Linked DNA regions of Elephas maximus indicus. The protein of the gene in region 2 purifies or fractionates together with the protein of the main gene of each other region. This does not show direct contact. Links are inferred from orthologs where the notes say so. Each region holds a gene or a part of one and is shown on either strand. Other genes may lie near its edges. The genes, in order: GDI1 and RAB9A.

Evidence for each region.
Region 1: the proteins of RAB9A (region 2) and GDI1 purify together in Homo sapiens (affinity purification with mass spectrometry; 3 studies listed by BioGRID and IntAct, counting the BioPlex papers as one, with this or other methods). This does not show direct contact. The link is inferred for Elephas maximus indicus from reciprocal best matches to the Homo sapiens genes RAB9A and GDI1.

The regions. Positions count from the first base shown.
Region 1 is NC_064846.1:2,001,964-2,018,196, forward strand, and holds GDI1 (rab GDP dissociation inhibitor alpha), read right to left. Parts: upstream 7,437-16,233; 5' UTR 7,325-7,436; coding exon 7,280-7,324; intron 6,124-7,279; coding exon 6,016-6,123; intron 5,853-6,015; coding exon 5,753-5,852; intron 5,622-5,752; coding exon 5,487-5,621; intron 4,994-5,486; coding exon 4,795-4,993; intron 4,573-4,794; coding exon 4,441-4,572; intron 3,832-4,440; coding exon 3,732-3,831; intron 3,256-3,731; coding exon 3,084-3,255; intron 2,803-3,083; coding exon 2,658-2,802; intron 2,525-2,657; coding exon 2,470-2,524; intron 2,380-2,469; coding exon 2,227-2,379; 3' UTR 1,393-2,226; downstream 1-1,392. Other genes in the region: protein FAM50A, read right to left, coding at 682-792; ATP6AP1 (V-type proton ATPase subunit S1), read right to left, coding at 8,781-8,990, 9,212-9,443, 9,532-9,579, 10,272-10,510, 10,896-10,981, 11,861-11,901, 12,345-12,538, 12,803-12,877 and 2 more. UniProt on the Homo sapiens protein: Regulates the GDP/GTP exchange reaction of most Rab proteins by inhibiting the dissociation of GDP from them, and the subsequent binding of GTP to them. Promotes the dissociation of GDP-bound Rab proteins from the membrane and inhibits their activation.
Region 2 is NC_064846.1:165,953,713-165,969,516, reverse strand, and holds the start of RAB9A (ras-related protein Rab-9A), read left to right. Parts: upstream 1-9,293; 5' UTR 9,294-9,464; intron 9,465-9,706; exon of another isoform or gene 9,707-9,988; intron 9,989-15,804. Other genes in the region: 60S ribosomal protein L7-like, read right to left, coding at 6,623-7,369. UniProt on the Homo sapiens protein: The small GTPases Rab are key regulators of intracellular membrane trafficking, from the formation of transport vesicles to their fusion with membranes.

The DNA.
Region 1 (16,233 bases), about 160 Mb from region 2:
CCAGTGGCCTCCAAAGCAGGGAGTCCCCCAGGGAGAGCAGGGTCACAAGCCAATGCGAAGTAGGAGCGGGCTTCCACCTTGCACCCAAGTCCCTGCTCTTCAGACCAATCTCCCCCAAATGCGCAAGCTGACGGCTCCTTCCTTCTTTGTTCCTGGCTGCCCATTGTCAGTCGCCACTCACTGAAGTGCTTCATGAACGCCGTGCACATCAGAGGCTCACGCCTGTGGCTTGGTGGGGACATGGGTGCCTGCGTCTGTGACTGTCCCTAAAGAGAGGGACTGCCCTTGGCGGAGCCAGGGCCCACTGTGATGGTTGAGGGTCAACCCACCAGGTTGCACAGAATAGCAACACTTCCCGCGCACTCCCACGGTTGTTACCAGTTATCTCGGCCCCTGAGGTAGCATGAAGCTCGGCCCATCTTGCAGATGAGAAAACTGGAGCCAGCTCTCATGTCACAAGTACGTGCTTGCCCAGCCAGGACCCCAACCCAGGTCTGCCTGCCGCGCGTGCCGCGAGGCCACTGTCCGGGGCCGCGGTCTGGGTCCCCGAAGTCGCGGCGGGGCCGCCAGAGGGCACTCGACGGGCGGCGGCGCGCAACTCCGCGGCGGCCCGCGCCCGCGCCCGCGCCCGCGCCCGCGCCCGCGCCCGCGCCCGCGCCCGCGCCCGCGCCCGGCGCGCACCTCGGCGATCCGCTGCTTCATCTGCTCCATCTGCTCGCGCTGCTTCTCCCGCTTCTTCATCAGGTGCATGGCACGACCCGCCTCACTCGCGGCGCCCTTGTACTGAGCCATGGCGGCGGCGGCGGCGGCGGCGGCGGCGGCGGCGGCGGCGGCGGCGGCGGCGGCGGCAACAGCAACGGGCCGAGTCTCGGCAGCGCAGCGACGCTGGCTATGCCGTCAGCGGACGTTGTGACGTCGGCCACCCGAGGACGCCGTGGGCTCCGCCCCGCAGACCGCCCCGCCCCGCCCCAGCGGGCGGCGCCTCCACCGCCTCTGAGTCCCCGCCTTGAGGGGTCGCCAGGCCCGTCCCTCGGCATCCTTTCGGCTAGAGGCAGGAGCCCCTAAGTCCTCTCTGCCCCTCCCCACCCCACACCGACCCCCTCCCGAGGCCGGGTCCCAGACCCGGTGCTTCCTACACTGGACCCTAAAAGGGTGGTAAGTCCTGCTGCCAACACCAACTGGCCGAGTGGCCTGGGCAGGTTGATTGGACCCCAGCTTCTTCTGTAAAGGCCCCCTTGGTTCTGGAGCTGTGACTCCTGATCTGACGAACACTGTCACCTTTTACAGTGTCTTGGTTTGGCTCAATTCTCATATGGAATGAAGTGAAGGCCCAAACTCAGGATCCTACAGCCCAGCACCCAGCTTTTCCATAATAAAACTAAAGAACCAGGCTCAGGTTTCAACACAGGTTTATTGGGAGTTTTTCTGTGAAATACACTAGAGGTCGGGAAGGGGGCACATCCACTTTGCAAGGTTAGGGTTTCCCACCACTAAAGGAAAGGTGTAGACTGGAGCAGGGAACACTGTGGTTTGGATCCATTTTCCCACCTCCTGCTTTGCTCAAATTTCTTTTTTCTCTCAGCAAGAACCAGAGGACACGAACACAAAGGCAAAAACAAAAACAGCAAGATCAACCTCCGACCATGCTACGCCCAGGCCTTTTCCCTCTTCCCAGACTGCGCCAGGGATGGGAAGGGTCCAACTCAGATCACACAAAAGGCGGTCTGTGAGACAGGGCTCAGCACTCCCTTCTCATGTGCTCAGGCGGGACCGAGGTTAATAAATTAGAATAAGTTAGAGGGGGAATGCAACTTTGTACTGGGAGGGCCCCTTCTCTTCCAACACACGCAAGACTTGGTGGGGGGAGGCAGGGGATATCTCCAAAGGCCACTACCGGAGGAGAGTAAGGGCAGCGGGGATAGAAGTCGGTTTTTCCGCCACATTCTTCACAAACAGAGCAGAAGAATTAGGAGTGGGGGACGGAGACACACGAGGAAAGGAACCCTCTTTTTCCAGGATAAAGGAATGGCCAAGAAACAGAATGCTACCCAACCCCCATCTCCCAAACCACTGCTAAGGTTAAGGATTTGGTCAGTGAATCAATGAGGTGGGTGATGGGGACCAGGGTGGAGGAAGCAGAGGATAACAGAAACAGGAGGGCCCGGCCCCAGTCCAGTCGTCCCGGACTGAGGAGTGGGCTGGGGCGGGCAGGCAGGCAGTCAGCAATCACTGGTCAGCTTCACCAAAAACGTCATTCTGTTTGCGCTTCATATTCTCAAAGTCAAAGGCCGAGCCAACCATGCGTTTGTAGATGTCTTTGATGTCATTGCACGTTGTCTCAAAGTGGGTGGTGGCATCATAGGAGCAAGAACAGAACACCTGAAAACAGCCAACCAGGGGCCCAGGGTGAGATGGACAGAGGCCCTGGTGGGCAGCTGGGAGCCAAGGAGCCAGGACAGGTCTGCTTACCTGGCTCTCGGAGCCATCATCAGTGGGCTCGTACAAGTCACTGATGGCCACAAACCTGAGGGGCAGACGGGAGGGGAGAGGACAGGCCTCACAACGGGTCCCCCTTCCAGCCCCTCTCAAGAAAGCCCCTCGGTTCCCTTCATCCCCCTGGGGCTGAGCCTGGCCTCCAGACCCCCCCAGCTTCTCACTTCTGATCAATGGGCTCCAGCAGCTCCAGGGCTGGCTCTATCTCCTTCTCAGGCTCCGAGGTCTCCACTGTGGTGCTGGCGATAGCAATGTACTTGCCCTGTGCAGCCACGTTGTGCGCGTAGGAGATCATGCACACGTAGATGTCTGACCACAGTAAGTGCTCAGTGAACAAAAGCCAAAGGGTACACAGCCATGCATGCAGGGGGGTGCTGGTGGCCTACCCACTCCCTACAGCCCTGTGCAATGGGCAGCGCCCAAGCTGCTACCTTCATGGAGGAGAAGAGTCCAAGAGAAGCCATCCAAGCCCTGGGGCCCCATTTCTTCCACGGAAGGATTAGGCAGGGAGCCCCAAGTCTGATAGGGAGAGGCAGCACAACCCCAGAAGGAATGTATTAGAACAAGTCCCACCTTGGCTCTCTACCCACCTGACTTCCTGTTGACCTGGTTCTGGGGGATGATAATTTGGCAGGAGTTGGCGTCGTTGGTGTTCTTGATGGGGTGGCTCAGGACACAGATGATACGGATCACCTGGCCTGCCTTCCGTACTCGGTCGGGGATGTAGCTGGGGTCACAGATCAGCTGCTTGCAGCGGGCCACCTGTGAAGGCACAGGGAGGACTCGGTCCTGGGTCCTATCACTTCCCTAGATGGCCAGGGGGCAGGGCCCAAACCTACGGGTGGCAACTTCAGCAGGCAGAGGCCTCTCTGCCACTGCTTGCCCCTCCCGCAACACGCAGCCCTGCTCTGCACAGGGCTCTCAACCTGCTCAGGGTGACAGGGCCCAATACACCGGGCCAACCCCCTCTACTGAGACCCCGTGATTAAGGAAACTCTGGACCACCGACATGGTACGTGGGCTTTTAGAGACACCTCTCGGTAACAGGAATGGCTACACAGACTGCTTTTGCACCCCAAGTCCCTGGCACAGGGGTCCTCGGTGCTAAGTAGCAGCAGACACCCCAATCAGAATCACCAGGAACATGGAGCCCGTGAAACCAGGCCACACCGTACCCGGACCATTCTGCCTAAACTGCGCGGAGAAGGCAGAGTGGCTGTCCAGTGGAGCCCGCTTACCTCTCCCTCTGACTTCACACCCACCACCTTGCCATTCTCCATGATGATGTCATCCACAGGTTTGTTGAGCATATACGTCCCGCCATAGATGGCACTCAATCTGGGCGCGGGGGGGGGGGGGGGTGGGGGTGGTAGTGAAGTCTCCTTGCCAGGAGAAACAGGGACCTGGTACCACTGCCCCGCTCCCCCACCCGTCCCTGGGGTGCAGAGAAGGCTGCTCCAGGCTGGGCAGAACCCCGGAAACCCAGCTGCTTGTCCCAGCAGCTCTGCCACTGCCACAAACTCAGGGCTGAACTCACTGCACTCATTCCTCTCTGGCCCCAAATATTCTCCAGAGGACTACATATGAGGGTGCCATAAGGGCACAGCTCCACATGGAACCAAAAACCAAGGAAGCTCCAGAGAAGAGCCAGCTATTATTGCCTGAGCCATCAATAAAGACTCTGGGGCCTCACTACAACTAAGGTCCATCCCTAGTATTACCTCAGACATGAACTGTGAGCTGAGCAATCCAGATTACTGGAAAGCTGGCTCTTCGCCTCTACGATCAACCCACTGCTGCTGTGCCCCCTCCTTCCAAGTGTCACGGGAAGTAAATTCAGGTCACAGGAGTGAAAATAAAAACACCACAAACAACTTAAGGTGACCATTTTATTGTCTGTCCTTAGTTCTACTTGGTAATACCAATTGAAAAAAGCTATGTCCTCACCTTGCAAATCCCTGGGGCAGCTCGCCAAGGCCATAGAGAGGGTATAGATACGGGCTTTTCCCATACCGGGCCAGGGACTCGCTGTACAGCTTGATGCGGTTGATGGTCTCAAGACAGGGCTGGTCCAGGTAGCTGAGGAAGCAGAGAAAGATGCTCAAACAGCAGACCCCCTCCTGCCCGCCACCTCACCCCAACCCAGGCACTGAGCCGGCCTTCCCACCCCCTGGGGAAGAACCATGGGTCACATGCAGAACAACAGTCTGAGTGGGTAGCTGAGCACAGAGGGCATAGAAATCAGGTGTGTGAAGGGCAGTGTTCGAGGAAGGGGACCGCCCCATCCCAGCTTCCCCTCACTCATCAGTGCGATAGAGCGCCAGGGCGTGGCCAGTGAAGTCAATGACGTCCTGGCCCAAGTCAAACTTCCGGTAGACATCGCGCATGCTGGTAGTCTGGGGGTCAACCCCTTCAAAGGTCTTGGGGTCGTTCTCATCAAAGTTTGCCACAAAAACCAGGAACTTGCGGAAGCGCCGTTTCTCAAACATGCCCATCAAATCTGAAGAAAACGTTGTGAGGGGAATCCTGTTGCCACGAAATCATAAACCTCTTCTTCCCACCAGGTTAGAGCAAAAAACCAGGAGCCCAAGCTCCTAGCTGAAGACTGCCACTGACTAGGTTAATCCCGCTGCCTCTCTAGACCTCAGTTTATCCACCTATACAAAGAGGGGGCTGGGCTGCACAGGCTCTAAGGGCCCTTCCAGCTCCAAGGCTTGGGGATGCTTCACAGATCAAGTGGAAACCCTTTCAAAGGTTGAAGTCTTTCAACAGGAGGCCCCATCCACGCCCCTCCATGTCTGGACTTCTACCCTGGCAACAAGCCATGAGGCATGACAGGCGGCACACACGGAATAGAGCAAAGGGCCACTGGTACCGTACGAGAAATAGAAGCCTGGGTAAAGGGGCACCTTGGTCTGGACCTTTCCACCCGTATTAATAAGGGCAGTCTGCCTCCCCCACCTCCCAACTATTCTTTGGCCCAGGGAACTCACTAGAAGCCAAGGCTTCGGTCTCAGTGGATGGCACTTTGTAAATCTTGCCCCCCTTATAGACGAAGCTGCCCTCTACCACTTTAAAATCCAGGTAACGAGTCACCTCTGTGTACAGCAGCATCTTTACCAACTGTCCTGTAGGCAAAGGAGAACAGCAGTATCAGCATGGCCCCCTTCTTCTAACTGGCCTGACTACCCCTTCTCTGGAGCCTGACCTGCTTCTGGTCTTCCCGATCACCCCCCAATACCTTCTTCGTCCCCCTCACCATTGGCCATCAGGAATTTGGGGATCAGGTCAACATTCCAGTCTCGGCCCCGGCCCATCGACTCAGGAGGCCCCTCCAGGAGCTGGAAACGCTTATACAACTGCAAGCAGGACAGGAAGAGATACCTCAGGGCCATCCCCTCCCTCCCCAGCCCCCAGCCCTGCTGCCCAGAGAGAGAACCTGGGGAGCTGCTTCCAGCGCATGAGAAGGTTGATTAAAGGGATGGTAGGTTTCTATTTTTTAGGGGTGGGGCTGAATCTCACCTCCTCCAGGGGCGTGATGGAGGAGCTCTCCCCGCCATAGTATGGGTTCCGGTCCATGTGCAGCACCTTCTTCCCATTCACAGACATGATGCCAGACAAAATACATTCCTAAGGGGAGACGTGACAGTCCCTACATGACTCCCCACCCACACATTCGCAGTAGGAGCCCTGACTGTTCCCCACCCAGGAACTTGAGAAAAGAGCAAATCTAAACAAGGACCCTGTGCCTGTGGACAGCTCCTCCTCACCAGAGCTGGTCACCTAACCTGAAACCGCAGGCCAGAGCTTCACTAGGCTTCTCCTCTATACCCTGCTGAGCCAAGAGATGCACAAGAAAAGAAATAACAGCCGCTTGGAGGCAAAGACCGCTCCGAGCAGCCCACACGCCCAGAAAGCCCCCGTCGACGTAGGGGCCCTAGGGCCGCGGAAAAGGCGGCTAAGACACAATGAGTCCGAGGAGCGCTGCTAGAACTCTAGGCCCCAGGGCAGACCCGGCGGCGGCAATCCGCCCGCCCGCCCGCCCCGGACCGCGCCTCCTCCGAAGGTTCGGACGACCCTAAGCCTTCGCGGCCACATCTGCGGACGTTGTCCAGCTGGGTCGAGGCTACGGGGAAGAAGCCCTAGTCGGTGTCACCAACCCAAGGACAAAGGCTGCGGATCTGACTCAGCCCGCGGTCGCCATGGGGAACTGCGGTGGGGGAGCGGAATGTGCTCAACGGCCCCACTGCTGCTGCTTCTGGAACATTCACTGGGTCCCCCGGCCCCAGAAGCAGCTGGGGAGACGGGATGAGGGCCTACCCTAGCGAGACACCGTGAATCGAGATGGACACCTCATCCTTCATCGGATTAGCGCAGATAGGGGGCCGCTGTGCGGGCGATAGGGGGCCGGTGGGCGGGGTCGGAGCATCGGGGCGTCGCCCAAGCAGGGTGCGTTTCCCGGCCCAGCAGGCTGGATGAGAGGGTCGTGGAGGGGGGGAGAGGTCCGGGCCCGAGATCGCGGGGGGCGATTGGGAGGGGCACCCCGCTGAGACGGGGACGCGGCAGCGGGTAGAGGTGAGGTCGGGTGGGGATGGCAGCGGAGGCTGTTTTTTCGGGGGACAAGAAGCGCCGGGGGCATCCGGCGCTGGGGCTGAGGGGCTGAAGGGCTGAGGGTACGGGAGAGGACGGGAGGTCGGGCCGGCGTCGTTTGGGAAGTGCATCATCGCGGGGATAGGTGGTCGCGAAGTGGGGCCACGGGCCACCGATGCCGCGAGGGCGGACTCACGGTGAGGCCGGTCCCCAGCACGATCACATCATATTCCTCGTCCATGGTTCAGTCCTCGATGCCAGCGCCAGCTCCGGCTCCTCCTCCACCTCCTTCACCACAGCCGCCGCCGCAGCCGCCGCCGCCGCACTGGACCAAAGATGGCGGCACGACGCTCAGACGTCCGACGCCTCCGCCGCGTCAAAGAGTCCCGGCTCCTCCCCGCCCCCCGCCGCTCTCAGGCGCCGCGCAGCCTCAGCAGCACGCGTCCCAGTAGGGCGGCTGGGGCCCGGGCTCGAGCACCAGCGCAGCTCTCCCAGCTGCCTGTTTCTGCGGCTGCTGAAGAGTGGGGAGGGGCGGGCTGGGTGGTCGGCGCAGGAGGGGGCGGTCGGTTCTGCGGCCCCGCGAGGAATCCGTCCGCGGGAGCCGCGCGCGCCCCGCCCCGCCCCGCCCCGCCCCGCCCCCCGGGATGCTGGAGCGCGCGCAGCGGCCACGCACTGCTGCGGAGGGCCGGGGGCGGCGTGTTGGGACTGGCGGCGCGGGGCGGCCGACCGCGCCCTCCAGCCCTCCGGGCGGTCCTCCTCGGAAGCCCCGAGTATCTTTTATCATGGCGGCCTCTCCCCCCAGGAGCTGCACGTACCGTGACTCAGCACCGCCCCGACCCTCGTCGCCCCGGCACGGACCCCCATTCCTGCTGAACCGTTGAGGGCCTAGCTGGCAAAAGCCTCTCCCAGCTTCTGGAGGTGCTGCCAGCTGGACCCCCGCAAGGCCGCTGCACCCCTTGGCGGGCTCGGCTACATCCAGGCCCTTCCTCCCGCCTCTCTTCTGTCCGTGGAGAAATGAGGAACCAGAGGCCCAACGCATGGCAACCCGTTTTTATTTATCAGTAAAGAAAATAACTGAGTGCCCCAGGCTGCTGCCAGGCCCTCCTGGTGGGAAAATGCTAGAAATTCAGGGATCACACTGAACCCACCTGCCATGGAGGTCCCTTCCTTCTCAGACCACAAAAATAAATCCCACTGTACTGGGTGTTTTGTTTGGGTACTGCTGCTTTTTAGCACGACATCATCAAAAAAGATCAAACAACGACAGCTAAGCAGGACACACAGTTAAATACTACTTCTATACTCCCCAAACTCGGGGACTGTCAAGCTGCAGGCTGCTGCAGGAAGCCCTGTCAAGCTTGGGGAGGGGGCATGTGCCGCACACAAGCACTGTAAACAGTAAGCGGCGATGTTGGAGAGAGGAGAAAAAGGGGGAGAAGCAGTCCCTAGAATTAACGTTCCCTCTCCCTCACCTCGACTGAGCCTGGAAGATTTGTCTACTTACTACCTATGCAGAATGTACATACATCTTGTTGGGAGACACAGGGGGGCCCCCCAGGATGGAAAGGGAAGGGAGCCAGGGTGAGGGACCTTGGGGTTTCATGCTATGGCAGCCCTCCAGTCTGGCGTGACCAGAGGTGGAAAAGTGACGACCAGGACACTGCCACGCCCCTCGGCCCCCCAGCAGCGCAGGGTGGTCACACTATCTGGGTCAGAGAGATGGCAGGGCCCTTGTGGTCATCAAAGCGGTCCATAGTCTTGAGGCTGAGGATCATGTGCAGGCCATAGGTGAAGATGAAGAGCATGAAGAGGGAGGTGAGCAGCCCCATCCAGATGCCCGGGGAGAAGAAGCCGGCACAGTCGCTGGCGTAGGAGAAATGCTCGCCCGTCACATTGAAGGCCTGGATCTGGGGCCAGACAAGACACAATTGGTGGGACCTCATGGCCCCCTGCAGTGAGGATGTCCAGCAAGGGCTGAGATCCCCCAGGTGGTGGACATTCTGAGTCTCCCAGGGCCAGGGGCACTGTGGGAACAGGACTCTCAACTACAGGAGCCCAGATGAGGCCACTGAAGACTCTTGAGGCCTCTCTCCTCCCCCTACTCATACCGTAGCTCCCCTCGCCATACCTGGAAGTCCTGGAGCGTCATCTGCCAGAGAGAGGGTTGTATTTGGGGCACAAGGAGATTGCCATTCTTGGTGAGGCTGCTGACATACTGGCAGTGGAAGGAGTAGATGCTGGGCCCAGTGACCTGGGAGGCGTTAAAGTAGGTGACAGAGCCATTGCTGTGGATTTCAAGGCGCTCCATGGTAAACCAGTGCCGGGCAGACACTGGGTAGAAGCGGTTAGCCAAAATGAACCTAGGGGTGGGCAACACAAGTGGTCAGGCATGTGGGGGAAGCCAGAGCCACACCCAGCCTGCCCCACCTTGGCGGCCCCAGAACTCACTTGAATGTCACTCTGGTACCAAAGAGTTGCTCGTAGGTCAGTGTGAGTCTGTGGGGTCAGAGGAAAAGGCCGTGAGTGGCTTCAAGGACCGAGTTTCTCACGTCTACCCCTACTTAGCCTGCCCCCAGGTCTTCATGACAACTGAGGATGTAGTGCTCCCTCTTTACAGATGGGAAAACTGAGGCCCAGAGAGGAGAGTGTTTCCCCCAGTCACATTTCAACTCAGGAATGAGCTAGAAGCCAGGTCTTCCGGCTATAACTCAAGGCTCATTCCTCTGGTTCCTAGAGTCCACTGCCTCTTCTTTCAATTCCACGTGGGGTTGCAGTGATACATGGGTTGGGTTTTTGGGGGTGAGGGCAAATGGAGGAGTAGCAGTCTCCCTGGCCACACAGCAAGGGCACAGGAGCCCCACAGCTGGCTCAGGAAGCTGGCCTAGTATTTGCCCTATGTTCAGTCCAGGAGATTCCGCTCTAGGGGACGCACCAAGTTCCCAGGTGACCATGAGGCGTTAACGACAAAGGCCCCAACCAAGGCCCAGAAAGCATGATGGAGGCAGAACTCTGAGCAACTCCCCCTCCAACAGCCCCCACCCCATGATACTACCCACACCCCACAGTGACCACACCCTACAAGGCCATGCCATCCCCACGTCCGGCTGCCTCCCCGCCAGCGGCCCTGACCCACGGAGGCAGAACATCACCTCTATGGCCAAGCTCCTCCCCAGCCCGAATGTCCTCACCCAGCGGCAGAGTTGTTCCAGAACGAGCCAGTAAGGTTGAGTTCCTGGGCCCCAAAAGTGAGGGAGGTCAGGTCCTCCCACTGGTCCTTATAAGCCACAGAGAAGTTCTGGGCCCAGAGTAGGATTCGGGGGGCTGTGTCATTGTAGCTCACAGGGGGGTGAGGCACATCCGTCTCTGTCGTTTTTTCTAGCAGCTGTCGACCCAGACCCCCAGACACCATGGCTGCATCCCGGGCCACCTGTGGAGACAGCCAATGAGCCTTCTCACCACCACCCTGGACCCAAGCCCTAAACCAGCTGCCCTGCCCCCAGGAAGGCAATCCTCTTCACCACACCAACACCCACTGGCCAGACTCAGAGCCCTTCCTTCAAGAAGCCCTCCCCAGCCAGCCTGCACCCTGTATTATCTTCCTAATTCCTTAATCTCAGGAACCACTTTGACTAATTTTCACATACACCAACCCATGAGCTCACAGGGCAAGATTATCACCTGCTGCCTGGAGGGAGGAAGCTCAGGCCCTCCATACAGAGCCGCCCCATGTCAACGTCCTCAGCCCACAGCGGCCCTGCCTGTGGCCCGCCACCCCTCACCTCCCAAGGCACCCTGCGGGGAAGGGCACGTACCCTGGAAGGGCGGACTGCTGTGAGGGCTGCGGTGTACGGGACATCCTCGGACTTCAGTGTGCTCAGTACCTGCCCGATGACCTCGTCTAAGCAAATGGGGAGAGCAAAGAGCCGGGTCACGTGCTGATGACGCACAACTGGATCACCTGGTTGAGGTGGGGACTGCCAAATGTCCCCGTTGTGAAGCACCACCACCACAACTGGCTCGTCACCTGTGGTGTGGTGCTTTAACACCCTTGCCAGAGCCAGTTCCGCATCAACCTTTCACCAGATGTTTTTAGTAGCTGTTGATGAGCCCAGACTAACAGCAGCTGTTTCTCATCCCGCCCTCCATCCAGCCTCCCTTGGGCCCTGGGAGCCTTGATTATCGATTTCCTAATGACAAGGTGTAACAAAGAGAAATGAAAAAATACAAACAGACAGGGATATAAATATACAGACATATGGGCATGGATATAGAATATGATACGGATACAGATATAGAAATGCAGATATAAATATGTAGAGATATGACCATAGTTACAGACCCCGCCACATACATTCACGTAAGACTCCCAAGGAGGCCCTGGATGGTGCAAACAGTTAAGCGCCTGGCTGCTAACCAAAAGGTTGGCAGAGAGCCCACCCAGAGGCACCTTGGACAAAAGGCCTGATGGTCTTCTTCCAAAATATCAACCACTAAAAACCGTAACTGTCCTTCATGGCAAAAAGCCAACTCCCCCAAATTCTTGGATTTACTCTGGTGGAGGGAAGCAGACTTCTGACAAGACTCCAGCAGCATGAGGCCCTCACAGCCTGACATCCCGCTGAGCAGAAAGCAACTGTGGGGAACAGGCAGGGCCTCCTGGGAGTGAGGCAGAAGCTGAGGAGTTCTTGGGCATCTCTGGGGTCATGCCACCAGCTGTGTCACAGAAGTGGACAGGGACGGGGGGTCAGGTAAGGGTACAGGTCCCAATGCCACTCACCGTTGCCTGTGAGGACTTCCCTGGAACCCATCAGGCCAGAGCTATCAAAGAAATGGAACGTTAGTGCCCTTGTGTAGGCAGCCCTGGCCCTCAAGTCCCAAAAGCTCACCTCCTCATGTTCCCCTCTGCCCTGCACCTGTCCACCTCTCTAGCCTCCCACCACTTGGCAGCCTCCACTGAAGGCCCAGGCCTCAGAATACTGGTTCAGCGTACTACTCCACGCTCCCTGCTCACTGAGCCTGCACACTCCACCTAGGGGCTTTCTGAAACCTGCATGAAAGCCAGGTTCACTGCCTTCCACACACAATCCCCTCAACTCCTCTGGCCACACAGGCACGTTCCAAAAGGGTTTCAAGGTGCTTAACGAAAGGACTGTCTCCTTTGGTTGCACCATGCTACCAGAGCCCAGGGCCCAGGTTTCAGTGCTCTCCAGGCCCAGAGGCTCCACTGGCCTGGGGGCTGCAGGCTAAGGGCAGGACTGTACCTGGTCGTGTAGGGCAGCCGGATGAGTAGCAAGGCCGGGAGGCTGGCATTGAGCTTCAGCTCCCGCAGTGTGGCCAGGTCCACGTGCAGGGGGCTGGCCCCAAGTTTCTCCTGCAGGTAGGTGGTCAAGGTGCTGACAGCATACCAGTCAACTGCAGGGAGCACCAGCGAGGAGGGGGCCAGGGCCAGGGCATTCTGGGGGCAGGGGGATGGAAGGCAGAGTCAGTGGGGGACTAGTGGCTGCTCAATGTCACAAAATTCACCCCCAAGGCCTGTCCAGCAGCTCTCCTCTGGCAAAGCATGCCCACACGGGGGTCTGAAGCCCACCCTGCACCCCTGCCTGACACTCAGGCCCCAGGTCTTTGGACCTCACAGCAAATGTCTTATTCCCAAAGGCATAGTTTTTATGGTGCTGGGGTGGGGTGCGGGACACCGGGATGCCACACACAGGGCTCTTACCTCTAGGTTTGAAAAAGCGCTGTCCTGCTTGTTGCCAAACACCCCGCCATATGCGGTGAAATCCTCAATGCTCAGCTAGGAGGAAAGCAGGGGAAGACAGCCTCCTGAGCCTGGACGAGGTCAAGGGGCCAGGGCCTAGAGCGGGCCCAGCAAAGCCCTGTTTAGAGTAGGATTTGGTCTGGTACCAAGAACAGCAAGGCGTGGGGGAGGCTCCCTTCCTTCCCTCCAGCATGCTCAGGGCTCAGGCAGGGTGAGAAGACAGGAACGGTGGTCACAGGGCTGGGGCTGGGAGGAACCTGCGGCACTGCCAGCTGACTTGTGTTCATCCCAGTCAGTCAGCCACCCCTCACAGAGAGACAAGAGGAACTTGGTAGGGAACACGGAAGCTGGGGAGGGGGTGGGGAGGGGCAGCCAAGAACACAGCCTGAATGCCTCCTAGGGCTGATGGCAAAGACACAGGCTGCTATGGGGTGAGTGAGCCGCCCAGGTGCAGGCTGGAGTACTGAACTAGGACCCCTTCTAAAGGGGCCTGAGAATTCCCCTCTCCGCCTGTTTTTGAAGGGGGGAGAGAGACTGGATCTTGGAAGAGGCTGCCAGAAGCACTGGAGTCTTTCGCAGTCCTCAGCCCACAGGAACCCCAGCCCCAACCTTTTCCCTCCCCAACCTACAGATGTCCTTCAACTCCCAGCTCCACCCCAACCCAGCTCCAGCTTCCACTAGCTTTTCTCAGCTACCTTTTCTCAGTTCCACCTAAAGGCCAAGCAATATTAATCAGCTTCTCTAACTACACTATTTAGTATGCAAACTCGCCCAGCCTCCCCTCCCTCCGGGCAGGAAAGCTAACCCTCTTTAGGGTCCTAGGCTCTCCTTCCTAAAGCCAGGGGAAGCCAGGGTTCCTGAGAACAGGGAACCGGAACCACCACTGTGTCCCATGTGCTTCCTTTAATGAAGACATCAAGTCATTCCCGGTAGAAATCGCCGAAGGCTTCCCATCACACTTAGGATCACAATCAACCTTTTTCCATAGCCTACAAGGCCTATCTCATCTCCTGGGTACCTGACGTCTCGTACCCCGTTCTCACTCACTATACCCCAGCCACGCTGGCTCTTCCCTGAGTTCATCAAGAGCGCTCCCAGCCCTGAACATTTGCACCTACTGTTCCTTCTGCCTGGAATCCCCCTCCCTCACAACCACGTGGCTCCCTCTCTCAGTCAGTATTCCCTCCCAGAGGCCTTGGCTGCCCACCTTCAACGAGACAGCATCCCGAGTCACTAGGTCCTCTTAGCCAGCTTCCATCTTCTTTAAAGAATATAGCACTGATGCTATATTATACATCTACTTCACAATTACTGGTTGCCCCCACGAGAATGTCAGCTTGCTGATAGTAGAGGCTTGAGTTATTTTGCCCACTGCCTTGATAGCACAGTGGTTAAGCGCTTGGCTGCTCACCAGAATGGCGCCGGTTCGAACCCACCAGCTGCTTTATGGGAGAAAGATGTGGCAGTCTGCTCCTGTAAAGATTACAGCCTTGGAAACCCTATGCGGCAGTTCTACTCTGCTGGAAACCCTGGTGGCGTAGTGGTTAAGTGCTGTGGCTGCTAACCAAAGGGTCAGCAGTTCGAATCTACCAGGCACTCCTTGGAAACTCTGTGGGGCAGTTCTACCCTGTCCTATAGGGTCGCTATGAGTCGGAATCAACTCGACAGCGCTGGGTTTGGTTTTTGGTTTTATATCCTCAACACCTAACAACATCCAGTACATAGCAGGCCTTCCACCCTGGCAAATGAGCAAATGAATGAATGAGAGACCTCAGCTAGATGTTTTACAACGTTTCTAAGAATTACTCCTCACAATTCTTTAGTGCAAGTGGTGTCTTCATTTTACACATGCAGAAACTGGCATTCACAAAGATTATTTTGTTTGTCCAAAGGCTGGTAACTGGTAGAACTTGACTGGGTTCAAGTCTGACTGCATTATTTACCACCTCCTGCAAGAACTGGGCAAGCGTGACCACCACTATCTACCCATCAAGCAACAGCATGAGAACCAAAGAGGAAAGACTTACAAAGGCCACCAACAAGGACTGGTGAAGCTGAGGTTTGACAGCCTCCCAGACACCAATTCCAGGCTGCCCTAGACTCTTCTCATGGCTTAAATGCCTGCCTGGAGTCCAGGGAGGCGCAATGGAAGGGAAAACTGCATACTCATTACGAACACAAACTGGTAGGGTCCAACATTCTCAAGCTGGAACCAACCACGGTGTCTATAAACCATGAAATTTTAGCAATCACTGCCCCTCTACAAACCTTAGTTTCCTTGGCAGTGAAATCAAGATCATGATATCAACCTAGCACAGTGCACAGGAAGTACTCAATAAATAACCACTTTGTGATCAGCCCTATTATTACCATTTCAATTAGAATCACAACCCTGCCACTCATGAGCTGTGTGACCTTTGGCAAGCCACCTGCCCTCCTTGGGCATCAGTCTTTGCAGGTGTAAAACAGGACGATAATCCCCAGCACGGTGGGGGGAGGTCGGTCAGAACATGTACCTGAAGTGCTTGATACTGAGTAGGCATGTGGCCCCTTTCATTCCCAATCGAGGTAGTGCCCTTCGGCTACTCCCACCATTCCCACTAAAGCTTCTACTACAGGCCTTCCACGGAGACGCGGCACCCTGCTCCACAAGCTGGGACAAGGTCACGGAATCTTCCCTTAGAGAACGGGTATAAGTGTCGTGGGGGGAGGGAACCTGACCGACTACTAATGACGGAGGCCTGGGCGGCGCACCTTGTCCTGCAGGAACAGCAGCACATTCCGAGGGCCCAGCTCGAGGGCGGGGTCCAAGTAGGTAGACAACTGCAAGTCGCTGGTGACGTGACCCTCGTGAGTGTCGGCCGCAGGAGCCCACAGGTCCCTGTACGGAACAGAAGAGTGCCATCAAGCGGGGCGCCTGGCTTAAAAGCCGAAGCCCATGGATGCCCAGCTACCACGTCGTGGGTGGGACAGGGAGCTCGACCAGCAGAGCAGGAGCTCTGACCGCGACAGACTCGCCGCCGCTCCCCAGCAACGGAGAGTGGTTCTCTAGGCCTCGCCTCCCCCTGCCAAGGCCAGCCCCGGAGTCAGGCGAGCGCGGCCCGGCCACAGGCTCCGCCGCCCCTGGAGACGCCCCGGCCAGGCCCGCTCACCGGTCACTCGACCACAGCACCAGCGGCACCTGCTGCTCCGCCGCCACCGCCACTGCCGTCAATGCCAGTAACAGCGGCAGCCACCGAATCTGCCAGAACGCTGGGGCCCGCCGCGACCGCGCTCGCGCCCGCGCCCGCACACAAGCCGCCGCCGCCATTGTATCTTCGGCTTGTACTGTCTGGCTGCCGTCTGCCGTTACCGCCACTGCCACTGCCGCTGCCGCCGCCGCTGCTGCCGCC
Region 2 (15,804 bases):
TAACAACCTTCAAAAAGTTACAGTTGCTAATTCATAAGCAAGTTAAAATATTACATACTCAAAAACATCTTTACTTTTTATTTTTGGACTATATTCTCTTTCGAGATGTGTATAAACATAGCTAGCTCCCCAGCTGCTGCTTTCAAATCATCAAAATGGTATCAAAACTTACTAACTGTACGTTTGTAGACTGAAGCAAAATATTAAGAAATTTCCAAGTGATCCCCTGAGTCACCAGGCTAGATGTCACTTAACGTGCCTCTCTGCAAACAACTTCAGACCTCAAGCTACAAAACCAGTTTCAATTGTCTTTTCCAAATCACGTCTCAGCCAGGCGCTTGTCCACTAATGTCTTCTTAGCTCGTACTCACTGCCGGTGAAACCACCCGCACCTGTCTCAGAAACGCGAAGTCACTGTGCACCGGTGTCTAACAGGAAAGACCCTAAAGGTTTAGGTTGACTGTTGGGCGCTTCAGAAGTCCACCAGGCTGGCTTGTTTGTTCTTGTCTTGAGTGCATTTGCAGACCAAGGACTTCTACTTCTGCAGTTTTATTTTCATTCATCAGATGGACTTTTATACCCTCAGCTTTGAGAAATCTCACAAATTGCTGAGCAGAAAGTTGCCAGACATTTTAGTGGACTGACTTATTTTAAATGATTTTTTAAGATCATTTTAAAATGAGACCAACTTAGTGGTGATGGTTACACAACATGATGAATGTACTTAGTGTCACTGAATTATACATGTAAGAAGTGTTGAATCGACAACTGTTTTGTTTTATATATATGTATTTGTCACACACATATACACACACACACACACACACAAAGACCAGCTGAGGGAGGGACTGCAGACAGGGTCTCTATTGTATCCCGTGAGTCATCCTGAGCCTTTTTGTTGCTGTTACTGTTTGCATGTATGAGGCCCCGGGTTCAATCCCCAGCATTTCCAGAGTAGAATTCTGGGAGCCCTAGTGGTGCAATGGTTAAGCGCTTGGCTGCTAATTGAAAGGTGGGCGATTTGAACCTACCAGCTGCTCCATGGGAGAAAGATGTGGTAGCCTGCTTCCATAAAGATGACAGCCTTGGAAACTCTGTGGGGCATTTCTACTCTGTCCTATAGGGTCACTATGAGTTGGAGTCAACTCGACAGCAATGGGTAATCTTTATGGATGTCAGGTCTTTCTCTGGCTGAGCCACTGGGTGGATTCAAACCACCAACTTTTCCATTAAGCAGTCAATCCCAAACTGCTTGTGCCACCTAGGGTCCTAGTTTGCTCATACATAAAATGGAAGGATAATGGCACACTTCCTCAAAAAGAGCTTTCAGGAGGCACCCCTGAAGTTCGCTGACAGGATAAAGAGAGTCATTGAGTGGCCCCTGAGGCTGTCAGGGCAGTTGGCTAGGCCATCCATCTCCATGAGACAAAGTCCTTACAGTGGCCTTTCAAGTCTTATCTTTGTGGCACTCAGGTTACCCTTTTGAACTCTTCACTTACTACTTCCCTCCTTGCTGGTCCTTGGCTATGCCAGGTACACTCCTGCCACAGGGCCTTTGCTTCTGGCTAGAGTACTCTTGCCCCCGATTCCTAATGTTTCCCCTCACCTCTCTCAAGCCCTAGCCAAAGGTCACCTTGGGCAGTGAGTGAGGCCTTCCCTGGCCATGTGCTACATTCTCTTGAGCACCCTTTCTCATTTCTTTTTTCCGTAAAACCTCACCATTTAAATACAATGCCTTGCTTATATATTTTGTTGTCTGTCTCCTCTCAGTAAATGGTAAACTCATGGGGTCAGGGATTTTTGTCTCTTTGGTTCACAGTCTCTTCCCAGCCCCAAGAACAGTTCCTGGCACATAGAAGGCCCTCAGCAAATATTTGCCAAGCCAGAAGAGCCAGGAATACGACATATCACTACCTACATATACTTATGTAAAGGATGAAAAACAACTTTAGAGAGAGAGCAATTGCAGTCGATGACAGGCAAAATGACGTGAGGGTGGAAAGAATGGAGAATGGGAAAAGAGAATATTGTTTTCCTCGGAATAATTTGGCACCTTTGTTCCCCATCTAGTATCTTAAGGAGGCCTGATAGCTCAGTGGTTAAGCTTCTGGCTGCTAACAGAAAGGTAGGTGGTTCAAACCTACCAGTGGCTCCGCGGAGAAAAGACCTGATGATCTGCTTCTGTAAAGATTAAACCAGAAACCAAACCCGTTGCCATCAAGTCGATTTCCAGCTCATAGCTACGCTGTAGGACAGAGCAGAACTGCCCCATAGGGTTTCCGAGGCTGTAATCTTTATGGAAGCAGACTGCCACATCTCTTTCCTGCAGAGCAGCTGATGGGTTCAAACCACTGACCTTTTATTAGCCAATGAGCGCTGAACCACTGTGCCACCAGGGCTTCTCCCAAAATATATATATTTGTAGATGAAACATATATGTATATAAAACATATATAAACACTATTTGCACTATTAAAGTTGTTTTTATTAAGCTCGTGTGCATTTTTTTGTTAAGTTGTGCCACTGCCACCACTAATCCCCAAGCATTTTCATTAGCCCAGAAAGAAAACCTGTACCTGCCAGCAGGCACTTGCCATTCCCTCCGTCAGCCCCTGGCAACCACTCATCTAATTTCTGTCACTATGAATTTGCCTATTCGGGAGATTTCACATAAATGGATTCATACAGTATGTGGCCTTTTGTGTCTGATTTCTTTCAGATGGTTTTTTTTTTTAACTCAAAAGTAGGCCATATCTTACTAACCAAAGGAACCCATGCTGACCTTTATTTAAAGTGCATCTTTAACTGAATTCACATGAATAATTTAACATTTACATGTCACAATTACAGTTCAAAGCTTTGTGTCAATAATTACTTTTGATTAACCCGTGCACAATTTGACATTTTGAATGCAAAAAACCCCCCAGCCTTATCTACAAGACATTCAAAGGTCATGTTTTTTTCTTTTAGAAAAAGGAAGGATGGATGTTTTCCCCTAGTTTCTTGATTTAGTTGGCAAAGAAGAGTTTAATTAATCAGATTTTTATCACCATAACCATTGTGTTGGGAGCCCTGGTGGTGCAATGGTTAAAGCACTTGGCTGCTAACCCGGAGGTAGGTGGTTTGAACCCAACCAGCTGCTCTGCAGGAGAAAGATGTGGCAGTCTGCTTCCCTAAAGATTTACAGCCTTAGAAACCCTATGGAGCAGTTCGACTCTGTCCTATAGGGCCACTGTGAGTCGAAATCGACTCCATGGCGACGGGTTTGGCTTTGTGTTGTTGTTAAAGTTAAGGAATTCTTAGCAGCAAGTTGGGTCAACTTCCCTTCCTTTGCATCTCCTCTCCTGTCTTGGTCACTTAGTTCTGCTGCAACAGAAATACCACAAATGGATGGCTTTAACAAAGAGAAGGTTATTCTCTCACAGTCTAGGAGGCTACAAGTCCAAATTCTGGGTGTCAGCTCCAGGGGAAGGCTTTCTCTCTCTGTTGGCTCTGGAGGAAGGTCTTTGTCATAAGAGCTGGTCCTCGCAGGAACCACTGGTCCTAAGGGTGTGCTCTGCTCCTGACGCTGCTTTCCTGGTGGTATGAAGTCCCCATGTCTCTCTGCTCCCTTCTGTCTCTTATATCTCAAAAGAGATTGGTTTAAAACACAATCTCATCTTGTAGATGGAGTCCTGCCTCATTAACATAACTGCCACTAATCCCATCTCATTAACATCATAGAGACAGGATTTACAACACATAGGAAAACTGGTCAGATGGCAAGATGGTGGACAATCACACAATACTGGGAATCATGGCCTAGCCAAATTGATACACGTAATTTTGAGGGACGCAATTCAATCCGTGACACCTCCCAAACAGACATATCCTCCGGCATAAAATTACTATGCAGTTGAATTGTTTGGCCCGTTGAAAGTAGCTCTTCCCTTACAGTTCCATAATATCACGTGCTGCTGGAGTCAGTTGCTGTCGAGTCGGCTCTGACTCATGGCAACCTCACTTACAACAGAATGAAAAGTTGCCAGGTATGTGTCATCTTCACAATCGTCGGGATGCTCGAAGTCCATTGTTGCGGCCACTGTGTATTTTTAGTGCCTTCCAACCAAGGGGACTCATCTTCCAGCACTATATCAGGCAATGCTCAGTTGTGATCCATCAGTTAATTTTCAGAAGTAGACTGCCATGCCTTTATTCCTAGTCTTTCTTAGTCTGGAAGCTTCATTGAAACCTTTCCACCGTGGGTGATCCTACCTATTTGAAATACCAGCGGCATAGCCTCCAGCATCACAGCAACACACATGCTACCACAGAACGACAGACTGACAGACAGGGGTAGGGGGATGGGAGTGCGGTAGATTATATCCATAGGCTAGGGAATTTCACACTTAGCCGAACCTATGAACTTTCTCTATTTTATCGCTGCCTTACGTTATTTGTGGGCACATTTGTTTCCTTTAATTGCCCATCAAGTCCCCTATGCAGTTCTTAGTTATGTTTATATCCCTAGAAGCCCCAAGGTGTAACTTGGGAAATGGAGGATGCTTAATACACTTTTGTAAAATAGATTTTTTTTAAGCTAGAGTGGAATTTCAATATGAGTTCATACATGTTTTTGTTCTGTATAGCTCATGCCACTATTTGCAAACCCTGCATCTAACTTTAATAAATGAGATCTGTACTTCTACAGTATCGTTAATGTTTCAAACCCAATCTCCTGAAAAAATCATTTATTCACAATCAATTCCTTGAACTCATGGAATTGGAAACTTACCAAATTAAATAAAACAAAGCCATAAGTCAGAAGAATTGTGCTAGATTGTATTACTGTTCAAAATACTTGATGATTCTCCCAGTGGGAGGGTTCTAGATCACTGCACCATGGAGGTAAAGCTTTACCACATGACTTGCAATGCCCTTCCCTTTAGGAGGATTATACCTACTAAGCGATTTGCCTTAAGTCTGGTGGCGTAATGGTTAAGAGCTACAACCAGAAGGTTGACAGTTCGAATCTACTAGGCACTCCTTGGAAACCCTATGGGTCAGTTCTACTCTGTCCTATGGGTTGTTATGAGTCAGAATCAACTCAGCGGCAAGGGGTTTTGGTTGTTTTTTTGCCTTGTCCAATGACGTACGGGTGGAAATGAATGTCACTTCTGGGTGGATGCTCTAAGAGCTAGGTGGGGTTTTATTTCGGTTTCTTTTCTCTTAAACAATGAGACTCACAATGTATCAGGCATAGGCTGCTCCATTAGCTCGGGTTCATCAGATGACATGAAACAGAACCACAGCTGACCCATAATGGATGTTACAGAGAGTGAGAAAGAAATCTTTGTTTTTGTAAGCCACTGAGATTTTCGTGTGTCATTTGTTACCATAGCATGGCTTAGCCTAAACTGACTGATAGAAAAGTGTTAAGAGAAATGTAATCCCATTTACCTGCATTTATATTATGAATCACAGTAAGCTTGGACTATATAATCTATAGGAAACATTCTAACCTTGTACCATTCAGGGTTTGTGGTTGCAGCTAAAGACATCAACTCCTTCTAACTTAGAAAAGGAATTTTTTTAGAGGCATTGAGAGGAATTTTTCTTAGAGGCAAGGCTGGAGTATTGAGTTGGGAAGTAGGCAGAAACCAAGGGAATCCAAGCTTGGTCTGATTAAGATGCTAGGTACTGGATACTGCCACTAGCATCCCCGTCTCTGGCACTATCCGTGGTCACTGGATACTAGAGGCCACCAGTAGTAGTGGTGCCAGAATGAACTGTGAGTGGTTCCAGCATCCCTGTGTTGCTTGCCCAAGACTCAGATCTTCAAAGAGAATATCTGACTGGCCAGGTTTGGTGCTCGTGTCTGTATCCTTGTTGCTTGGGTTCTGGAAGAGCAAGTAATTGGTCTTTGAGGCTAGATACTTAGTTGGTTCCCTAAATGCAAGAAGGGCCTTCAGATGACAAATAAAACCCATCCTTCTTTCTCCCCCACAAAGGCAAATATCCCTTACAAACTCTTAGAAGAAAACTTTAAAGCTCCTGATCTGTATTTCTTATTAAGTCATGCTTCCCTTTATGGGGTATAACACAAGGAGTGTAATATAAATGATTGCATTCTAATTGAAAATTTGTGATATGGATAGACATATTCTAGGTCACCACCGTCCAACAGAATTTTCTTTGATGAGGGAAATAGTCTATATCTACACTGTCCAATGAGGTAGCCACTAGCCACATGTGGCTGTTGAAATGAGGCTAATATAACTAAGGAACTGAATTTTGAATACTATTTAATTTTAATTGGTTTACATTTAAATAGTCACATGTGGCTAGTGGCTACCATATTGGACACACAGTTCTAGTCCCTTCAGGCGTTGTACCTAATTTTCACAACAAAGGGCTTCCCATCTTTTTGTTAGATTTACTCCTAAGTATAAGTTTGTTATTGAAATTGGTATCTTTTTAAAATGTATATTTTCTGTGTTTTGTTGGTTGTATAAATGGAATTCATTTTTGTTAATCATTTCTTATGTAGCTACCTTGTTAAACTCGTTTTTTTTTCTCAATTTGAAAGCAGTTACAGTTTTATTAACTGACCAGATTACAAAAATAATCACGGTAGACACCTTTAGTTCATCCTTCTAATAAGCCTGTTGATCTGGTCTTCCCTGTTGCCAGCATCTCCACCTTCTACAAAATGGGTGGTCTTTTTCTTCATTCCACCTCGTGGAGAAGATAATTTGAAGGGCCACAGGAAGTCGTTTGCTTCTTTGAAGCGTTTCCCAACAGTATAGATCTCATGAATCAGATCCTCCATGCAGATGATGCCATATTTACCAAGAGATCGTGCCATCAAAGTGTTATCCGTCAGGGCAATTCGCTTCTTATTGATCTCGCCATAACCATGCTTATAGGTCAGTTCATTCACTGACTTCAGGTTTGGGAATGCCCACGCAATATATGGTTCCACAGTTCTCAGCATGTTAATTGAAGCCTTGTTGAGCTTAACAGAAGTGCCATTGAAGATCTGGCGAAGGCGAAGAAGCTGCAACACCTTTCGAACCTTTGGGCTCACACCATTGATACCTCTGATCCTGATAACAAATGCCAACTTGGGTTCTGCAGGTACACAGAAGTTGCCAGCTTTTCTTGCCATCCTAGCCATTCGAATTTCAGTCCTGTACATCTGCCTATACTCCTTGTGATAGTGCTTAGCTTTTTCATAGATAAGCTTCCTCCTTGCCTTTCGAAGCATCTTTTGGGCAAACTTCTTTCTCAGGCGCTTGATCTTTAGTTCTGCGAAATTCCTTTGCTTTTTTTTAAGGGTTTCTGGCACATCAGGAACCTTCTTTTTCTTCTCTTCGACACCCTCCATGGTTCCAGCCGGAAAAAGAGCTGTTAAACTCTTTTAATGATTAGTTTTCTATAGAGTCATTGGGATTTTCTAATCATGTCTGTGTTTAATACAGTTTTGCTTTTCCCTTTGCGATCCTCAAACTTCTTCTTTTGTTTCCTCACTATGCTAGGACCTCCAGTGCAAAGTTGAATAGAGTGTTACTTGAGCGTAAGAACTGTGTGTTTTAGTCAACATATATTTTGAATTGTAGTAAATAGAAACCGACTTCAAGATTAATTTAACTTGAAAATTGAATTTATTAGAAGGCTAGCAGGATGTCTGTGAGGACCCCAAAATGATCCAATCATTTTTACTGTACCTGAATCTGGGGCTCACTTATTATGTGTCTCATTTTCAAAATTGTTCTAAAATTGTTATTTTATGTGTCAGAAACTTTCTCAAATATAACCTTCCTAGTGCTGAATGAAGAGACTACATTAGATTACCTGAAAATAACTCTCCTAATAGCCAGAGATTATTTAAATAATTGTGGGCCCAGCAAATCATAAAAGTGAGAGCCTTCTCTTAGAAAATAAACAGCCTAAATCTACCCACAAAATATATTGAGAGTTCACTAAGAACCCCTCTGGCCTCCAGGGGCCTGTATCTGGACCCATGTCCCAAACCTCATATATAAAGCATGAAATTCTGAAGAGCTTTTTTAATACCGCCTTTCCCCCTACTGCTTTATATTTAAATTTATATTTAAAGATGACACAAGCAGTATTTTAACAAGATTAAAGGAAAAAATTCAAAGCTTAATTTTAAAAACTTGTTGTCGTTGTTAGGTGCCGTCCAGTCGGTTCCGACTCATAACAACCCCATGCACAACAGAACAAAACGCTGCCCGGTCCTGCGCCCTCACAATAGTTGTTATGCTTGAGCCCATTGTTGCAGCCACTGTGTCAGTTCACCTCGTTGATGGTCTTCCTCTTTTCCACTGACCCTGTACTCTGCCAAGCATGATGTCCTTCTCCAGGGACTGATCCCTCCTGACAACATGTCCAAAGTATGTAAGATGCAGTCTCTCCATCCTTGCCTCTAAGGAGCATTCTGGCCGCACTTCTTCCAAGACAGATTTGTTTGTTCTTTTGGCAGTTCATGGTATATTCAATATTCTTCGCCAACACCACAATTCAAAGGCGTCACTTCTTCGGTCTTGGTCTTCCTTATTCACTGTCCAGCTTTTGCATGCATATGAAGTAATCGAAAATACATGGCTTGGGTCAGGCGCACCTTAGTCTTCAAGGTGACATCTTTGCTCTTCAACACTTTAAAGAGGTCCTTTGCAGCAGATTTGCCCAATGCAATGTGTCTTTTGATTTCTTGACTGCTGCATCCATGGCTGTTGACTGTGGATCCAAGTCAAATGAAATCCTTGACAACTTCAATCTTTTCTCCGTTTATGATGATGTTGCTTATTGGTCCAGTTGTGAGGATTTTTGTTTTCTTTATGCTGAAGTGTAATCCATACTGAAGGCTGTGGTCTTTGATCTTCATTAGTAAGTGCTTCAGGCCCTCTTCACTTTCAGCAAGCAAGGTTGTGTCATCTGCATTACGCAGGTTGTTAATGAGTCTTCCTCCACAATATCACAACTGTTTTTTATTTTTCATCTATTCTGTTATTCTTTGCCATTTGCACATTGGTTTATTGTAATCACAGCATCCTGTGATTGTGCTCACGGGATCCGCTTATTTCCACTTCTCTTAAACTTTTTACGAGAACAATGTTGTTTTGTACCCGCTCTGGTCGGAGCGCAAGAGGGAAGGTATGAGAGGCAGCCCACCCAGAGGAAAACCGATATCCAGCAAGGACAGCCGGTCAGGGGTGGGCGAGGGCGGTGCGGGCCCGCGACCTCGAGGCCCCGCCTCCCAGGCCCCGCCTCCTCCGGGCCCCGCCCCGGCCCGTCGCCATGTTGTTCCCTCCGAGCTGGCTGGGAGCAGCTGGAGCCGGAGCCCGAGCCGGCGACCCCGCCGCTGCCTCGTGCCCGCCCCTGCCAGGACCCTGTCTTTCCCCAGCACACCCGGACAGGCGGGCGCAGCGCTCCCGGCGAGTCCTCCGTGTGGTTGCCACGTGAGCTGGGTGCAGGACTCCCCTGGGGTCGGGCGGGGTCCGGGGTGCCCCAGCGCCCGGGTCTGAGTGGCGGCCCGCAGGCCAGAGCGCGGCCTGGGTCGGTGGGAACTGGGGCGGGCGCGCTGGCGGGAGGGGGGCGCGGGGCCAGCGCCTGTCACCGCCGGTCACCGTCCGGCCCCTGGAGGGGAGGGAGGGGGGGAGGGATCGGCTTGTTCTCCCCCCACCCTTACGGACTGACGCAGGAGGAAAGACGGGTTTACATACCCAGGGAGCGGGACACACACCTATGCACCCGGGGACGCGCAGAGACGCCCGCACGCACCAGGTGACACACACACCCAAACACTGGGGAAGAGAGACGGGCACACACACCCAGACTCCCGGGACACACGCGCAGCCGCCAGCCCACACCACAGCCTCCCGAGGGAAGAAAAGGCGCCCACCCTTCCCGCGCACGACGTGGCTCTGGTGACCTCTGACATTCTGCCTAGCCGAGAGTTCGCAAATGTTTTGTGACCCCTCAGGTGAGGCATGTAAATACCATTCCAAGGGCCAGCAGGCGCTTCGGGCCATTATCTGATTTAGACAGCAGCTCGGGTTTCAGAATGGTGTTCCTTTCTGTCTTCCAATTTAGTAAGTCAAAAGGCAAGTCGAGAATTCGAAGTGCTGACCAAATAGTTGGTGGAGGTATTCAGTTTGCTTTTTAGGGGGTTTTGTTTTTAAAGCAGTGACACATCCCGTGACCGCGGTTCTCTTGAGGAATAACTTTTCTGCTAGTTTCCCAGTTGGCACGTGACCCCAATCTTTTTATAGGATTTCAGCGTCCTGATAAAATGAATAGACAGAATCTGACTGCCTTTTTAAAACAAACAAAACAAAAAAAAACTGTCTTTCAGTTTCTGGCACCATTGTAATGGAAAATCCCTAAATTGCCTGTAATCTCAGCAGCGGTTCAGTGGAGCGAAACTGGAGAGAGGGAGGAAACCCAGAACGATTCAGTTAGGGACTTTTTAAGAAGCCCGTTTGGAGACTCTTTTAGAGGTGTATCTGAAGTTATTAATACGTACTTTCCTAGAACTCTCAGTATCTTGTTTAGATTCCCAAATCTAAGACAATGCTGTTTCACTCTGATACTTTCAGTATTGTTGTGTAGACATTAAATTCTTCTTGCTTATACTAAAAAGTTCCTGGTTTGGTGATTTATTTATTTTGGACAAAATTCTGTGATTTGGAGCTATTTTTGATTTATTATCTAGGTGATTAGAGTAGACTGGCAGAAACTAAATAGAACATTGTTGGCCTTATCTCCAAGCCAGGTTCTTGGACACTAGGGAAGTATGTAGTGCCATTTCCTCTTTTCCAACCACTTTCTTCTCTTTTCTTTCCTTTCCGTCTGTTTCAACCACCTTTTCTGTCCAGACTACAGTGCTCTAAAAAAAAAAAAAAACTCCCTTTGCTGTTGAGTGGATTCTGACTCAATAGCTACCTTATAGGACAGGGTAGAACTGCCCCATAGGGTTTCCTAGGCTGTAATCTTTACGGAAGCAGATCACCAGGTCTTTCTCCCGTGGATCCACTGGGTGGGTTCCAACTGCTGACCTTTGGTTTGCAGCCGACCGCTTAACCACTGTGCCACTATGGCTCTAAGGCCTGAAAATAAGTTCCTTTGGTTTCAGAAATTGTTTTCACTGCCCCTCATTTCTCACCACGCAGGTTCTGGGTGTTCTGGGTGTATAAGTCCTGAACATACATCTTTCATTGAATGCTCACAGCACGGCTGAGCTATTGGCCCCCTTTTACAGATGAGGAACTTGCTGGGGCTTAGGAAGGTTAGGTCTCTTTCTCAAGGTCACACACACAGTGAGGAGCAGAGCCAGGATTCAAGGCAAGCCTGTGTGATTTGAGGGCAGTGGTTCTCAACTGGGAGCGATTTTGGTACCTCCCCCCCCCCCCCACCCACACACACACAGAGAAGACATTTGGCAATATCTGGAGACAAGTTTGTCACACCTGGGGAGGAGTGCTAGTGGCATTTACTGGGTGGAGGCTGACGACGTTCAGGACAGCCCCCACAGCAAAGAATTTCTGGCCCAAAGTGTCACTGGTGCCGAGGCAGAGAAATCCTGCTTTAGAGCAGTCTGCGGAACGCCAGGACTCACTTGTCTCCTCCGCTTGCAGTGTTGTTTTCTTGTTTAGGATACCTTCTCAGCGTTTCAAGAAAAAGCAGGGTAAAATTTGAGAACCTAAAAGAGACTTCTCTTGATTGAGAGGCATATTCATTCATTTAAAAGACTAAGTAAATAGTTTTTGAGGACAGAATTCAGTATTTATTTTTAGGCGAAAATGTCAAAAAGAACTTGAGAGCTAGCTATGTGGGAGCCATCCTAGTGGACTGAGCGAGTTTAGTTCCGGCATTACTCCAGGCATTATTCCAGCCGTCAACAAACATTTTTCTGAGCGGCCTGTCAGGCCCACAGAGGTGCTGGTGATTTGAAGAGCTATCGAGAGCCTTGTCTTCCTGCAGCTTACAGTCTACTAACAATCCTGGGGGTCCTAGACAGGGTCAGGCATTCATTACAGAACAAAACCAGAAGCAAAACAGCTCCCCACGTGGCAGGAAGTACCTGCATCGTTGTTTTCTGTGAGCACACTTAGATGAAATGAGGGGAAAGCTGCTGTGTTCTTTATAGCTCTGTTCAGTTAAGCGCATGTGAACACTTAAAAGAATCAAACTGAGAAGCCATTCTCATTGAGAATAAAATTCTGCCTTAAATTTAGCTGCAGCAGACAAGGGCATGTGGTTTGTCATTGAAATCAAGAACTAAGTGAGGAGATAAAAAAATGACGTTGGCATCATCTTTTTCTTTCTGGCGTTTTCCAGCCTACTTTTGCCATGCCTGGCTATGCACAGGCCTTTCAAACTATGTACTTTCATTCTGGTGGCAAATGTGAATGTAACTATTAGATGAGCTTGGGGAGTGATTAATTGAGAGAAGAAGAAGAGTTGGGTCTCTTTTTCGGAGTCACTGTGAAGTTACGCAGTCATTGAAGCATCTTTTTGTGGGTAGCTTTGCTTTTTGACTCGGCTTTTTTTTAATGGACAGGCTACTGCTCTAATGAAAGCTTTCTCTGCACTTACAGGAGTTGTCTGCTGTGGGGTGGGGGGGATGCTAAAGTATATGCCTGAAATGGTTGCTGTCCCATGGGGTCTAACAAAGCCCTGTATGTTCTTTCCTCACTGGAGTTTTATCCTGGAAGGGCTTAGAGGAATTGGGGTGGGGAAGAACTCACTGGCTTGGGTGGAGTCTTGCTCTGTCATTAGTTGGCTTGCTGCTCTGGCCAAGTTAGGTCACCAGATTTCTTTCTTCGTAAAATGAGATGCTTGTACTTTATGATCTCTGTGAGATTATATGATACCCAGTACAGACAGCACATTATTAGGTTCCATGTTGTTCTGCCCCAGGCAAATTGTTGGCTAAGCAGCAGGAGGAAATAAACCAAATAGAAGTGTGCATATGTGTTGAGGCAACATATCTAACTTGAGAGCTATCTCAGTAATAAATTGGCTTGTCAAAACCAAGGGTTTGTGACTAAGTAGACCATCAACAGAGGACATTTATTAACGTTTTTGTTTTTTTTTGGTCTTGGTAGTACTCACAAAATGCCACAGGGAGTTTGATCGAAAACTGTGACACAAATGAAAGTTCCAGATACCTGAGGAGGGAGGCTGTGAGTGATGTGGAGTGATCCAGGTGTGTGGAAGAGGGGAAGCCTGGCTGCCTGGTGATGAGGGGCTGGTGAGGCCCGAGGCAGCCCCAGCTGGCCCTGGCTGGGGAGACTGGAGGTTCAAGTTGATGACTCGGCTGGCTAGTTGGGTAACTTGGAGGAGAAATCACTGTTTCCCAATGTGACTCTTGATACTATAAATGTGTGAAGTTGTGTTCAGGTATTTCCACATTCTGGATTTTTCCATTATGTACTTTTTATGAATTGTTGACCGTGGCAAGTACAGGGTTTAGAACGATGTTTCTGATCATGAACATAGAGAGGCTGGCTATACTCACCAAAAAACCAACAAACAAACCTGTTGCTGTCTAGTAGAGTCAATTCTGATTCGCAGTGACCCCATAGGACAGAGTGGAACTGCCCCATAGGGTTTCCAAGGAGTTACTGGTGGATTTGAACTGCTGACCTTTTGGCTAGCAGCCAAGCTCTTAATCACTACGCTGCCAGGACTCCGGCTAGATGTCAATGAATATAAATAAATAAGGTAAGAGCTAGATCAGCGAGGGTGGAGGGAGATGGGCCTGTGTTTGGGAAACAATACAGAAGTGAATTCAGTAGGGGTTGAGGCTTCGCGTCCTGGCCCGCCCTGAACCCAGCTCCTTTCATGGAGGGCTGTCTGTGGACAGAGTGCACCTTTGTCTTCTGCCTGATGTTCTACAAATGCGTGCTGTTGTTTGTCAGCAGCGGAGAACCAGTATAGAACGACTGCACACATTCATTTCATTGCCATGTTCATTAGCCAGGTGTGAAGAACAGCTGGACGGTGTTAAAGAGCTGAACTAATTTATCATTATTCCGTGTTGTTCTGAATTGGATTAGGATTTTTTTATAGAGAAGCTAAAAGGTAGTTAGTGGAAACCCCGGTGGCATAGTGGTTAAGAGCTACAGCTGCTAACCAAAAGGTCGGCAGTTCGAATTTACCAGGTGCTCCTTGGAAACTCTGTGGGGTAGTTCTGCTCTGTCCTATAGGGTCCCTATGAGTTGGAATTGACTCGACGGCAGTGGGTTTTTTTGGTAAGGTAGTTAGTTACCAGAAGATTAGTTCTCAGAAGGGTGGCTGTGTTATCAGTGTTAGAGAAGCCTGAAAAATTCTTAAACAGAATTCTGTTTCTAGAACTTGCTATGAAGAACTCTAACCAATAAAAAAAATAGGAGTGTTTAAATGAGTCTAACAGGTTCAAAAAGTTAGAAATCTTATTAGTCTGTGCAGTTTGACACTGTGTATTTGATCAGAGCAGGGAGTAGGTGAGCACTTCTGAAAAAACATATGTCTTTGAGTTGGACGTCTGAATGGAATAACAACACTGAGGACCAAAAGAAAACCAAACCTGTTGCCATCAAGTTGATTCTGACTCATAGCAACCCTATAAGACAGCAGAACTGCCCATAGGGTTTCCAAGGCTGTAATCTTTAAGGAAGCGGACTGCCATATCTTTCTCCTGCGGAGCCGCTGGTAGGTTCAAACTAGTGACCTCTCAGTTAGCAGCTGAGCACTTAACCACTGTGCCACCAGGGCTCCTTAAGTAGCTCTGAGTTTCCCTCAGAAATTCAACATATGCTGCCCTGCCCCAGTGAATTTGTGGTGTTGCCTTGGGGCACCTCCACACACAGTTTGGAAACCGCAGGATTAGAAACTTGGTGGTTTGGGTTATAGCATAAACGAATAAGGCATCAAAGTTGTTTTTTTAACCCCCCACCTCCACTCCGTGTTGATATTTGTAGCATTTTCCCTTGGGCCCTTCATTCCCCCCAGATAATCTTAACAGTTTGGGATGCTAACATTTGGGGGGCTAAGCTGCAGGGTGGGCAACAGGTGGGGAACCACAATTCAAGTTTAGTTTGCAGACCCTATCCCCCGTTTTTCGGAGTGTTTTAGCCACATTTTCTGCAGTACAAATGTCTCTAGGAAGTAGACCTTCTGCTGAGGTGGAGAAAGCCTAGGGGGTGAGGAGGTGGTCATGGGGTTGCCAGCCTTGCAGACACCTCACCCTGCCATGAGAAGTGCCAGGGCTTGTCCTCCAGGGCCTGTGCCTGTTCAGTTCTGCACCGGAGTTGGCTTTCTCAGCCTTGGCTGCCTCTCCCTGCTTCAGGTTTCCTATCTTCTGTCACTGCTGGACCGTTTGCATCCCATCTGCTCAATTTTGTACATGACCCTGATCTACAATTGTTTTCTTTTTGTCCTTTTGGGTCTGTATGTTTTCGAGTCCTTTTCTGTCACTTGGGGGGTAGTGAAGATAACACATGTGATCTGGCCTGTTTAATCAGACCTGGGAAGTTATTTGTTTTTTGTGAACTTCCGTTTATTGATCTATAAAACGTGGGTGATAGTGTCCAACTTGCTGGAAATTTTAAGGTGTTATATGCCAGGAAGGGAGCCCTGGTGCATGGCGGTTAATTTGCTCCACTACTAACTAAAAGGTCGGTGGTTCAAACCCACCAGCTGCTCAGTGGGAGAAAGCTGTGGCAGTCTGCTTTCTGTAAAAATTAAAGCCTTGGAAACCCTATGGGGCAGTTCTACTCTGTCCTACAGGGCTACTGTGAGTCGGAATTAACT